Linked DNA regions of Caenorhabditis elegans. The gene in region 3 interacts genetically with the main gene of each other region. Each region holds a gene or a part of one and is shown on either strand. Other genes may lie near its edges.

The links. Genes that interact genetically often act in the same process or in processes that back each other up.
Region 1: of lit-1 (region 3) and vig-1, a change in one rescues a mutant of the other (synthetic rescue), as found in Caenorhabditis elegans (one study listed by BioGRID).
Region 2: of lit-1 (region 3) and tsfm-1, a change in one rescues a mutant of the other (synthetic rescue), as found in Caenorhabditis elegans (one study listed by BioGRID).

The regions. Positions count from the first base shown.
Region 1 is NC_003280.10:1,319,300-1,323,832, reverse strand, and holds vig-1 (Hyaluronan/mRNA-binding protein domain-containing protein), read right to left. Parts: upstream 2,797-4,533; 5' UTR 2,686-2,796; coding exon 2,622-2,685; intron 2,501-2,621; coding exon 2,387-2,500; intron 2,340-2,386; coding exon 2,156-2,339; intron 2,098-2,155; coding exon 1,671-2,097; intron 1,620-1,670; coding exon 1,272-1,619; 3' UTR 760-1,271; downstream 1-759. Other genes in the region: fcho-1 (FCH domain only protein 2), read right to left, coding at 3,579-3,704, 3,748-3,807, 3,855-4,081.
Region 2 is NC_003283.11:12,269,512-12,273,262, reverse strand, and holds tsfm-1 (Elongation factor Ts, mitochondrial), read left to right. Parts: upstream 1-1,711; 5' UTR 1,712-1,713; coding exon 1,714-1,797; intron 1,798-1,855; coding exon 1,856-2,001; intron 2,002-2,082; coding exon 2,083-2,510; intron 2,511-2,556; coding exon 2,557-2,849; 3' UTR 2,850-2,992; downstream 2,993-3,751. Other genes in the region: capg-2 (CAP-G condensin subunit), read right to left, coding at 1-274, 318-1,028, 1,075-1,379. UniProt on the Caenorhabditis elegans protein: Associates with the EF-Tu.GDP complex and induces the exchange of GDP to GTP. It remains bound to the aminoacyl-tRNA.EF-Tu.GTP complex up to the GTP hydrolysis stage on the ribosome.
Region 3 is NC_003281.10:13,712,196-13,717,195, forward strand, and holds the start of lit-1 (Serine/threonine kinase NLK), read left to right. Parts: upstream 1-1,849; coding exon 1,850-1,989; intron 1,990-2,362; coding exon 2,363-2,481; intron 2,482-3,302; coding exon 3,303-3,476; intron 3,477-3,554; coding exon 3,555-3,656; intron 3,657-5,000. UniProt on the Caenorhabditis elegans protein: Has a role in the Wnt signaling pathway controlling the asymmetry of cell divisions during embryogenesis. Operates in the AB and EMS cell lineages influencing cell specification.

The DNA of each region.
Region 1 (4,533 bases), on a different chromosome or scaffold from region 3:
CCCTAAATTCAGTCAATTTTTAATTTAAGATTGGTCTGTTAAATAATTGTAGTTTGTAGTCCAGCAGACCCATACGAAACTCTAATAATTTGGGTCTGCTAAATACGACTTGTAGTTTGTAGCCTAGCAGACCAAAACTCTTCAAAAGCTCATGGGTCTGCTAAACACAGACTCTAGTTTGTAGTCTAGCAGACCAAATTCTCATTGGTCTGCCATTTCAGAATTGTAGTTTATAGTCTAAAAAGCTTCTCAGGGGACCTAATTCAATTTCAAATTCGGACGCCGCTGCTGTCATAAAATCGTTACTAAACTTGCGAAATAGCAATTTCCAAAGAGAGAAGAGTCGCAGGAAGATTTAATTAAAAATTAAATTATTTCGAACGCAAGCTCGCTCTATTGAGAATCTGAAGAATTAAAAATTCTAATTTAGGCGGCTAACAGAAGGGAAATCAATAAGAAGTGAAAGGAGAGCAAAAGTTTTTGCCGAGCAATGGGGAGGGGGGGGGGTGCTCCCTCTCTCCCGCTGAAGAAGACGTCGCGGCTCTCTAAAAGAGGCGGCAGAGAATCAGAGCACTCGGCTCGCGGCCTAGAAATGGCATGTGTCAGGCCACGCCCCTGTGGTTGGTTTAGACCGTTTTATTACAAAATACGGATACAGTTGGGTGGGGGGGGGGGGGGGGGGTGTGTGGAGGCAAAAAGAAGAAAAATGGGTGTTTGTGTGTGTGTGTGATATAGAATGATTGGGGTGTTTAACACAAAAATGATGCTTTATCAAATCTTGTTAACAACAAACTCCAATTAAAACGAAACCTGGGCGCAATGGGGTGGTGGTTGGAAGGGGCACAAATTGAGTTTCCTAGTACTAGTTCGTTGATCCTTGACACAATTGAGACCTTTTGTTGTGTCAAATATTTGGTAAAGAAGAGGTCGTCTTGGTGGGTGTATGTGGAAGATCAAGGGATTCAAAGGGCTTAAAAATTAAAGAAAAAACGGGAGATAACAAGCAAACCAAATCGAGGGCAACTCATCAGAAGAGAGATCGATAAGGCAGGTGATAACAACAACAAGCTAAATGGGGGAACTAGAAAAAAAAGAAAAATAAGAAACAGGCATTTTGGAAACGAACAATTTGTGGGGTAGATGGGCACAGGCAAAGATATTGAAAAGAGGAGAATTTTGAAGAAAACAAGATGGAGAGAAGAACAGAGCATTTGAATGAGGGCGGGCGAATTGGTTGGTTGGCTGAAGGTCGTTGAGTGGGGGGGGGGGAATTACTTGGCACCGAGAGCTGGGAAAGCATCGTCAGAAGCGTTGAATGGAGTGTTGTTGCGTCCTCCATGACCTCCTTGACGTTGTCCTCCACGGCCTCCACCGCGTCCACCTCCTCTTGGTCCTCCACGTTGCGGCCTCTCAGAACGGTCGTTGCGCTCGCGTTCTGGACGATCGTTGCGGAAAGTGATCGAAATGTCGAGCACTTGCTTTCTTGGAGCCTTGTGGATTACGACGACCTCGTCTTCCTCACGATCTGGGATGACCTCCTTCTTGATTGGAACGAGCTTGCCAAAAGTATCGGCGGCTCCCTCTCCGGCCTTTCTGGTGTTGAACTTTGGAGCGTCAGCCTGAAACAAAAAAAAAAATAAATTCCAAAACTAATATTTTATACGACTCACCTTAGCCGCAGCCTTGAACTCCTTAAGAGTCTTTTGCTTGGCAAGAACAGCCAACTCAGCCTCGTAGGCGAGCTCCTCAGCGGTCTTCTCACGTGGAACCTCTGGCTCGGTGCTCTCAGCGCCCTCTGGAGCAATGTTCTCGGTTTCTCCAGCCAACTCGTCCTTCTGGTCTCCCCAGTTGCCCTTTCCGTGTCCGTCCTTCTTGTCGAATGAGCGAACTCCGGTACGGTCGGATCCGGATTGACGATCGAATTGACGCCCACGTCCACCACGGCCTCCTCCACGTCCGCCAGATGGTCCACCTCCAAGGGTGAATCCTCCACGACGTCTTGGGGCACGGGTATCTTGTCCGTCTTCGAAAGAGACCTCTTGCTTTGGCTCCTCTCCTTCTCTGTTCTCGCGAGTGAATCCTCCGCGGCCTCCACGTCTAAAATACAAAGTTCAGTAAAATGAAAAAAAAAATTAAAAATTTAAGCGTTTCTTACCCAGCTGGACGAGCAGCACCGCGCTCACCGCCTCTGCGGGGTCCTCCACGACGGTTCTCGCCTTGTGGACGATCACCGTTCTCGTTGGAGACACGTTCTCCGTCACGTGGACGGCCGGCTCCCCCGCGTCCGCGACCACGTCCTCCGCGTCCACGTCCAGCAGCACCGTCGGTTTTGGTGGCGGCTGAAATAATGTTTAATTAATTTAAGAATAGGAATGCCAATTCTTACCAACTGGAGCAGCGGCTGGCTTGACCGGCTGGGCGGGCTTCACAGACTTTTCCTCCTTCTTCTTGGCGGCGATTTGAGACACCTTTTGGATGAGCTCTCTTGGGTCGTCATACTCTGCAAATTATCGATTTTTTATAATGTCTTCTGGGCGGAGTATATCGCATATGAATATTGCGCAATATCCCATCGGGAAGATAAGATAATCATCCGGCGATCATCATCATCAACCACTCACCATCGTCGTCGTCGGATGGAAGACCGAACTTGTTGGTGACCTGGCAACCGTATTCAGTGCTCATTTTTGCTGTTTGTGTTGATTCGATGAAGATAAGATTCCAAGTGCAGGAAGCTTCTGTTCAATTCAATAATTTCAATGCCAAGTTAATCAATAACCCATAATATGGGGATACCTGCAAGAACGTTAGTTTAGATTTCAAATTTTCAAACAAAAATCGATATTTAAGAAAAGAGTATAATTAGCCAGACACCGTTGCGATATTTTAAATCAGTTAAGCACTTTTCACAACTAAAATCAAAAAATAAAAAAAGCAAATTGCATTTTCTTAAGGGAATTTTTGAATGTTCCAGAAAGAAATCGAATCAAAAGTCAGAAAATCAACAATTGCTCAAAATCCACTATTTCGGAATAAAATAAACATTTTTCAGTGCAATTTTGATCAAAAATCGGTGATTTACTGCTAGCAACCCAAAAAATTACAAAAAACCGGCGAAAACGGTCAAAAAAAATCGGAAAAACTGTTCAAATCGGACAGGTGAAGGTTTGGCTGCGTATCACAATAGTGTAAACTGGCGTTTGCGAGCCGCTACGCAGCCAAATGCGACCGCCGAAATGGGCGGCAGTTTGAAATCGAAAACTAGTCCTCGGCCATTTTCAATCAATTTTTGGTTGGGGGAAAACTTGTTTTCCAATTGTTTTTGTTGTCTTAAAGTATTTGAAAAGAAATTTATGACATTTCCAGCCCAAAATGTGTGTAAAAAAAGTAAAAATGCCGGGAAAAAGTATTTATTACAGCGGGGGATAACGAATAATAGTGGAAAAACTCGTTTGGTGGTGAAAAATTGGAAAACTAGAAGTTGAAAGTTTGTTAAAATCACAGATTTCGCGAGAATTATGCTATATTTACACAGAAAAATTAAAACAAAAATCAAATTAAAAAGCTCTTCATCTTCTCTATTTCCGCAGCTCGGGATCACAAAAATATTTACCAGCGAGCACCTTTTTACGAATCATAGACAGGTGATAAATATCCGATTGCACTAGGGAAATGTCCACTCCAGATAGATTGGCTTCCAGGCACTGAAAAAGATAAATTAAGAGCTTAAATTTCAGTTTTTAGTACCTGAAATTGCACGAAGACCTGCGCCGGCTTCCGATCGAGCATTTCCAAGCTTACTTCGTCCTGGAAAATTATATATTTTTTATTTTAAAGCAATTAAAAAGCCCGACCCCAGAATTCTTCATAAATATCCTTGCTTTCAGCGATCCGTGCACATCTCCATTTCTTGAAATTTCCAGCAAATTCCAGCCGAGTGACGGATTTCCAGCCACCCATTTGGCTTCTGGCTCACACATCACAGAATCCACGCTTCCCGTCAAATTTGTGCTGAAATTCACGTTGAGAAGTGGCGCCGAGATGGAAGATTCTGAGTTGAGGCGATAGTCGACACGGAGATCTGAAAAGAAATGCGGATTTTTATTATTAGGCTTTATTTTTGGCGTTTGCATTTAAAAAGTACTACAAAAAACTCAATTTTATTTAGCAGACTCAGCAATTTTGCCAATTTCAATAAAAAATTTGGGTCTGCTACACTACAAACTACAAAATCAAATTTAGCAGACCTATCAATTTTCTGCAGTTTTTAATAAATTTTGGTCTGCTAGACTACAAACTACAAACTCTTAATTAGCAGACCCATCAATTTTCTGCAGTTTTTAATAAATTTTGGTCTGCTACACTACAAACTACAAAATCAAATTTAGCAGACCTATCAATTTTCTGCAGTTTTTAATAAATTTTGGTCTGCTAGACTACAAACTACAAACTCTTAATTAGCAGACCCATCAATTTTCTGCAGTTTTTAATAAATTTTGGTCTGCTAGACTACAAACTACAAAGTCTTATTTA
Region 2 (3,751 bases), on a different chromosome or scaffold from region 3:
ACGATATGCCCAGGTTATAAACATTTCGATAAGTTTGGATGCTTGGGATGCATCAATGATTTTCATTGGGCCAAGCAATCGGAAGTAACTCAAAAGAGCCAATCGACTTTTTCCTAACATGTAGTTGACACGAGGACGATAGTATGCTTCATCCAGACTTTTCGAGATAGGAAGACAAATATGCATAATTGGAATCAGTTGACGGCGGCAGGTCTCTACGTTTTCCAGATCGAGTTTCGCAATGGCATCATCTCGAGTAATGATATCGAACACACTGAAAATTTATTTTTTAGTTTGTTGATTTGGGTTCATTTTACCTAATAAATTTATGATTCTTCAGACGAGAAATTATTTGGTAAGCAGCAAGACGAACTCGTTCAGATTTATCCTGTAGTGCTGGATCAACGGCACATTTCAATCCATATTCGAATGCTGTGAGACATGCCGGAACAAATGCCATTTCATTAAGACCTTCAAAAACGGCGACGCGGACGCTGACAACAGTGTCTTTCGCGACTGTATCAATGATGTATCCCATGAGTTCCTTCACGATATTTTTTGGAATAAGAAGCCAGAATTCGCTGATTGCCTTCAAGACATGTTTCGTGGCTTCGCTTCGAATGGAAATAACATCACTACGTAATAAGTCCATCATATATCGATGTTGGTTTTCCATTATCCTATCCATGTCTTCAGTATCCTCGCCAATTAGTGGGTAAAAATTGAAAAATACTTCTGCAGCTGATGACTGTACAATGTAATTTGGAGCGTCCAGCGCTCGGTAAAGACATCCATTGAGAAGCCTTGTCACCATTTCATCTACACTTTTGTCCAGTTTTTTCGCGTGTGCAAATGCGGCAATCACATTTTGAAATTTAGTGCAGGTAGGCCTGTGAGCATATAATGCATGCTGACACATGACACTGATCACATCGGTCTCCAATTCCTCTGTCAAATCAAAGTTAGCCTCCTGATATGCATTTCTCCAAGCTGTGACGAATACTTCACCATACCTTTGACATTCAGTGCTGCAAAAATATATATAAATGGAATTCTTCAGCGTATAAACTTTACTCGGTGAGATTGAACTTTAGTATTAACTTCTCGAGTAGTATCAGTCCATTTCCAACACCAATTTTTGGGAGAATTTCAGCTGATAATTTTATACCTTCCGGACAAATCAACAAGGCTGGTGCGAAGAAAATACACCGAAGAGTCGATGGATTTGCATTGGCAATAATATCTTCTTGAACTGCCCACAATTTTCTGATGAATGTTTTCTGAAGAGCCCGACCTCCTTTTCCACGGAACTCTGTGAGTAACTCATTCCAGTCTTCTGATGGTTGTTTGTTAGGTGTTACCGGATTGCTCTTCGGCATTGATCTCTTTACTGAAAATTTCTATGGAATTATAGAATTTATTTCAACAAAAAAATAGCAAAAAATAATAGTATTAAAGTTTTCACCTAAAAATAATTATAAATAATCAATAAAATAATTCAATAATATAATTTACCTCGCAATTAAAAAAAAAGAAACACATTTTCCTTGTTATGTTCAAAACGAATTCTTTCGCGCGGCCGTCTTTCTCATTGGGGCGCACTTGCCTTTTCATTTTTTAATGCAAAAAATGCCCAGAAAATTGCATAATTTGCTTTATTCTCTTAAAATAATTATCAATATTGACTGAAAACTAAAGTTTCCAATTTTAGAAATGTTTGCTAGAGCTCCATTTGTACGTCTACTATCAACGACTAGTCGAAACTTGGCTGAGGCCGAAAAGAAAGTCTCTAAAGAGGTATTAAAATCTAGGAACCCTAATTAATTTTAAAAAATAAAAAATAATTGTTTTTCAGGCTCTAATGGCTCTTCGAAAAAAGACTGGTTATAGTTATGTGAATTGTCGTAAAGCACTTATTCAGTTTGGCGAAAATGATATGGATAGTGCTGTAAAATGGTTGAAAGAAGCTGCAGCGAAGGAAGGATGGGCCAAAGCGGCAAAGTAAGTGTTTATTTTGAAATTTTTTTAATTTGGAATGTTGACTTCACAAGGAATTATTTTAATAGTTATAGAATATTCCAGACTTGGAACTCGTGTAACATCGAATGGTCTTGTATCTGTAGTCACGGACAACTCAACAGCAGCTGTGGTAGAACTCAGTTGTGAAACTGATTTTGTGGCGCGATCTGGAGCTTTCAAGGATTTGTTGTCAAACATCTCCAACTCTGTTCTCGCAAAAGCTAAGCCACAATCTATATCGAGCGGCTCAAAACTTCAAGAATTCACCTATGATCTTGGGGATCTGACCGATTCCGACGGAAAAAATATGCGTGAAGTGCTCTCCCTTTCAATCGGAAAGCTTGGTGAGAACATGACAGTGAGAAGAGTTAAGGCTTTTAAAGCTCCCGAAGGAACAACTTTGTTTGGAGCTTCACATCCTAAAGATGGAACTGATGATATCCCGATGGGACGGTTCATTTCACTCATCGCTCTAAATCAATCGAGTCCAGGTGAAACAAAGAAATAAAGTAAAAAATTAAGTCTTAACATTTACAGGGTCAATCAGTAGTCAGCAACTTGCCGGACAGATATGCCAGCACATTATCGGAATGTCCCCGGAATCCCTCGGCGAAGCTGCAGAATCTGTGAAAACTCAAGAAGGGCTTCGTAGTCAAGAAGGGCATGATCCAAATGCTGATCCAGTTGTTGTAACTAATATTGATGAATCGGAAACTGCTCTTCTCCGCCAAGCCTTCATGTTGAATCCATCTCAATCTGTTCATGAGTACCTAAAATCCCACAATGCTAACATTCTCGATTTTGTTCGTGTAGAGCTTGGAAGCGAATAATTAGATAAAAGTGGTAGTAACTTTATTTTCATGCCTTATTAGTTTTTAGAATGCTTTTGTTTCTCTGTTTTGTTAATCGATAAATAAATTTATCGACATATAAATTGAATTTAAAGTTTAAAAAATAAACATTTGCAATTTTCAGAACATTCCTCCGTGGAAAACAATTGAACAAGAAGACGATTAAAATGCATTTATTTTATTTCAGAAATTCATGGTCACTCGGATTTCTGTCGAAATCAAATGTATTTTAAGGTCACAATCCGCGAAAATTTAAAACAATTGTTGTAATATAGTAAAAATACGAGAAAACTGCTGAGAACACTCAGAAAACATATATATTTTTGGGGTACTGTATTGGTACTGTAGGAGTAATTGGTGATGTAGGTGTACTGTAGTATCACTGAGCTCTTTGTTGAAACATGCGATATTGTTCTAAATTGTATCGTTCTTAGATTTGGCAATTTATCAAGACAATCTGAAACAAATATTGTTGCTGAGTCTGTTACTCTTGTTCCAAAACTGAAGGGACTATCTTGGTCATTATCATCAAGTTAGACGGTTTCAGTTCCATTGACATGGCAAAAAATACGAAAGATCACCGAACATTCCTCATAGTTTTATATTCCAGATGTTCCCATTTCTCAAGTTCTCATACCACATTCCAAAGGAACACAACTCAACAAACCCCAATCTTTCTTCTTCGGTTTTCTTCTCAAGCTTCCTCATTTCTCATCGTCATTTTTCCTTTTCATCATCAAATGTGTATCAAGACGTGACGCCTATGTGCTCTCTTTGAGAGAGCACCGCTGTTGTAAAGGTAGAAGTAAAAGAATACACAAAGAGAATATCATGCGTTTTGCGTTTTCTGCTGTTTTTTTTTCGCCCGTGTCTTTCTCTCC
Region 3 (5,000 bases):
TTCTGGATATATATGTATGTGGGTGTGTGTGTGTTATGGCTTTTCTTCGAACTTTTTATTTCACTCGGAAACTTTCAAGATTTGTCTTTTCTGATGCTTTTTAGGATTCCAGGAATTTTATTCGTTCGAACTAGTAAGTATGAAGTTAGAGTTCACAGCAAATTTTCATCAAAATTCGGAAAAAAACTGGTTTTTATATCGTAGCCCTACAAAAATAGAGAAATAAAAAAATCGAAGGGTCAGATTCACCAGTGTTATTTTTCGATAATTTGTCAGAAAAATTTGGGAATTAGAAACTTTACGAAGTCTAGTGAGTTGCAAATTTTTAAGAATCAAATTTGCTAATTTTCCTTCTTATTTTCGGATCAAATTTTCATTTCATATGAAATATTTCATAAAAAACAAAAAATCAGATTTTGTAGATAGAGCCCACAATGTAAAGGAACTACAACATCTGTAGAACCGGATCTGTTAGATTTTTTCTTCGAGTTTTACAAAATTTCAGACTTCCCAAGTTTTTTGTTTGAGTTTTGGCTCAGAAATTTCGAACATAAAACTTGGAGAATCAGATTCCCGGCTTTTAGAGAAAGTTCCGATTAGGGGCACCACAAATTGAGAAAACAAACATTCTGGAGAATCAGAGTTTCGATTTTTTGTTGCCAAAAACGACATCCTTGCTCCAACTGTCAGCATGCCAAACAACAGACACCCCTGTTGAAAATTTTAAATTCCAAATGAAACGGGGATGGGGTACATCGTAGTAATAGTAGTAGTTGGTTCTTAGGGGAGCACATCTCTGCTTCTTCTTCTTCGCAGCTTTTCGGTCTTCTGCGTCCGTTTGAGTGGTCAGTCAGATGTATGAGAGTGCGTTCCGTATCTCTCTGCGTCTCCACACCCTTGACCACTCTCTACGCCGTCGTGCTCTCTGTGTCTCGCCCGACTATCTCGAATAGAAAGTGACCACTGCTACATAATATTCGAATTCGCGGGGGGGGGGGGGTCTGTCTACTGCTGCTGCTGCTGGGTGGCCGTTTTCCTTGCCACACACTCTCTCGTCTCTCTTGCTCTTTGTGCATCTCATAGTTTGCTACTCGCGATCAGCTGTAGTCAACGTTCTCATATATACAGTATGCTTTTTGTTGAAAGTTTTGCCATATTGCCACGGCAAATTTTTTGGTACTTTAGTGGTTTTTTATTTCAAATCACCACGAACTTTTATAATTTTCCTCGATATTTGCATTTCCTCATTTTTTGCCAATGAAATTGTAAATTTTTCGCATTATTCTGTATGCTAGCACTTGTTTTCCAGCTTTACTTTACTCCCTTGTCCTCTCCCCGCCCCCAAAAGTACCAGAATAAGGTGTTTCCAAATTAGTTGTCCTTATCTTTCGAGGAGCCTCGTTTTAGAAAATGTGTACTTTTCTGCTCAATTCCCGGACACTTTTTCCGGGAATTCAGAAAAAGTCTGAACCACTACTAATTCTAATGTGATATTCTGAAGTTAGTCTTCATAATGATATATGCTAGCAATTTATATAACTAATTTTTCACATGGCGCACACATATCCTCATATCAGAACATATCAGAAGTTCTTGTTATTTTCCCGTTCCCCAAAAGTAACAGAGTAATAAAAAATTTCGAAATCCCGAGGGACGGTCCTTGGGGAGGTCGGGGTCATCACCCTCAACGTACATGGTACCGGGGGCCTGGTGGCGACAGGTAGTGAGGTCTCTCTTCTCAGTCCTGTTAGCACACACACAGTGGAGGGGTGCGTGCGCGCTCGCTCACTCGCCTACAGATCCGAGATGAATCGTAGACGCGTATTGAGGAAGACGGTGTTGGGTGGTGATGGTGTCGTGGGGAAGGGGGAAGGATGCGTACTATCTCTATATTTCTCGAGAACAAGAAGAAGATGATGACGATTCACTTTCCTTCTACTCGTCTCAGAAAGACACGGAGGACGAATTCTGCGGGTGCCTTTTCCCCGAGTAAATTTTCACATGTTTACAAAAAATGTTCATTATGAGCCTCTGTATTGCTTAAATTTGTCAATCATAAAATATTTTAAATAGGCAGTTCTCCTGAAAATAATACATTGAAAAATTTCGTTATTAAACCATTTTTGGTTTTTTTGTTGGAAATTTTTTTGTTGGCTTGATAAATTTGGCACAATTTCGTTTTCCGAGAGGAGAACAACTTTTATTTCCTTCTTCATCTATTTCCTCCTTTTTTTCAGAATTCTCTAGAAAAAAAACAAAAAAAAAAGAAGGCGTCCTCTCTCGTCATGAATGAATAACACTAGTTCCGCCTCACTTTTTCATGTTCTTTTTTCTTCTTTCTTTTTTCTTTCTTTTTTTCAAGTCCAGAAATTCCAGGATCAAGCAGTTCATCCGGCTGTAGTTCGTCATCTACAGAGCTCTACGATCTTGCAGCTGCACACGCCGCACTTATATCCCGACAGCAACAGATTCTCAGTCAGGGTGTGTTTTTGTGGAAAAATTAAAACAAATTGAGTTTTACATGTCCGGAAATGTGTGTCTCGCCACGAACTTTGTGGAATTCGTTGGGAGACCCTATTGTTTTTTTTAATAAGCTAAGAAATTGAGATTTTCGCTCATTCATGTGAAAAAAATAACGCTCGCTAATCTTTGTATTAGAATTAGAGTTGATTTGCTTTTATAATCCAGTTCAATTTGTCTACAAATTTTCTTTTTAAACAATTAAACTAGTTTGGAAAATGGATAATTAATTTTTAAACCTAACCGTTGAATTATTGATCGAAAAATGAAAATTAATTAAAAGTACTGTAAACTTTAAAGGAGCATACCTTTAGTTTCGTACTGGGTTCCACCACGATTCGAGAAATCATACATTTTATAATATTTTCTCGATTTTCGTGCCTAAGATATCTTTTTTTAATATTTAATTGAAACAAATTTTTTATTTTAAAATGTTCATTCTAACCGAAATTTCCAAACCCCATTGTTTGCTCCCGAAACACGAATTTTCAAATAGTTCAGTACTGTAAGATTTAAAGGCGCCCAAACTGTCTCTTGCAGTAGGTCTCGTCACGATCGGAGAAATTCTAAAAAAGTTTTTGTTTTTTCGTTTCGAATTTTTGTTTTTCTGCTCAATTTCTTCGCTTTGTTAGCTAAAAAATGTGTAAAATTTATCATTAAAAAAAACAAAGTTTCAACAATTTTCAGTACCTCTTCATATAATTCACATGAAATTGTCTAATTTTTAGCCAATTTCAGAGGATTTTCCGAAAAACTCAATAATTAATCAAGAATTGTTTCAGCAATCCCAATAATACCGGAACACCAGCTGGCCGCCGTCGCCGCTCACCATCAACATCACCAGCAGCTTCACCCATCGGTACAGTACCAGCTCGTCGCTGCCGCCACCCATCACAATCATCATCAGCCGCAAGCGGCACAACCACACTATTCAGCAGTTGTGCCACGATCTGACGGTTTGTTAAATAATGTTTTAAACGTTGAAAATTGTTTTTTTTTTCAATAAAAAAGTAATGTTTTTTTTAATTTTTCAGTAATACAACAACCACCACACTTTGCTCTGCACCACCATCTTCAGAATTTGGTTCAACAGCAGCAGCAACAGCAGGCTCACCATCATCATCAGCAATTAGTTGGTGAGTCGACCGATTTTTTTTCACGAAAACAAAAAATTAAAAAATAATTACCGAAAATCCGGAAAAAAACATTAAAAAATGAACGGAACAATTTCCCTTTTTTTAAAAGTTAACTTATGAAATTTTTGAAAGATAAAAAAAAATATTGGGAAAAATTTTCAAGCCTCAAAAATCTGGTTTTTAAAACTAAAAACTAATTTTAACAATAGTTTCAAATTTTTCTGTAAAAACCAAAATTCCCAACAAAATTTTTTTGAATCATGATATTTGTAAAAATCTATTTTCTTGATTTGTTAACAAACTTTCGAACCATTTCCCTTTTTGTTTACTTTTTAATATCTCAAAGTTCACGTGTAGTTCTGTTAGCCGGTCTTTACAAATTTAATCAGTTGCTGCCTGTCAAAGTGCACAAGTCCTTCTACTACTTTATTTTCCATCTCCTCTACCGTAATGTCCTTGTCTCCCCTGAATGACCTACAAAGAACACACTCCGCTCTTTCTAGAAAAGACTGCTTTCTCTGTTAAAGCACATGTTTTTTGTTGTTGTTACTCTCCGTCATCAGCTTCGGGGTGTTTTTTTTATTCTGGAATTCTTAGAATTTTCTCAGTTCACCGTGACTCACTTCTCAGAACTACTACGATTTTCTAACAGAAATCTGAAAGACATTTATTGCGAAATATGATGACTAAAAAAGAGATCAAGTTCGGCTTTTTTGAGCCATTTTTTCCGAATAAACCCGTTTTTTTTAATGTTCTGAATTTTCTATCATTTCCAAAAAAAAATATTGTGAAAAAAATTTTTATGATGCTCTTACTCTTTGCCATTTAAATTGGAACACTAATTGTCAATTTTTCAGACATTTTTCCGCGTAGAAATAAAAATTGGCCTATAAATTGTTCGTTTAACAATTAATTACTTGATAGAAAAACGATTCTTCCTTTTAATTTTTTTTTGAATAACGGAAAATTATATATAAAAAATGCCTATTTTCTTTTCTGAAATTTAGTATGAAAACCAGTTAAACACTACTTAGTTAATCTTTATTCGATATATCTTTATCAATCTGAAATTCACTAACGATTCATTTATGACGCTCAAACATGTGAACTCCGTTGATCACATACACACAAATTCACGTTATGACGAACATAACACTAGATATGTCGAAAAACGCATATACACAGATTATATTGCTAGTGACGCAATTTTTGAGTGAAATGGAAAAAAGGGAGATAATGGCAACAGCGAATACGTAAAGGTGGAATTAATTAGATTTCAGCTCAGATCTAGAAATAAGTAGAGAGTATGTGCTTAGACTACATTTTGTGCTCCTTTGGACTATA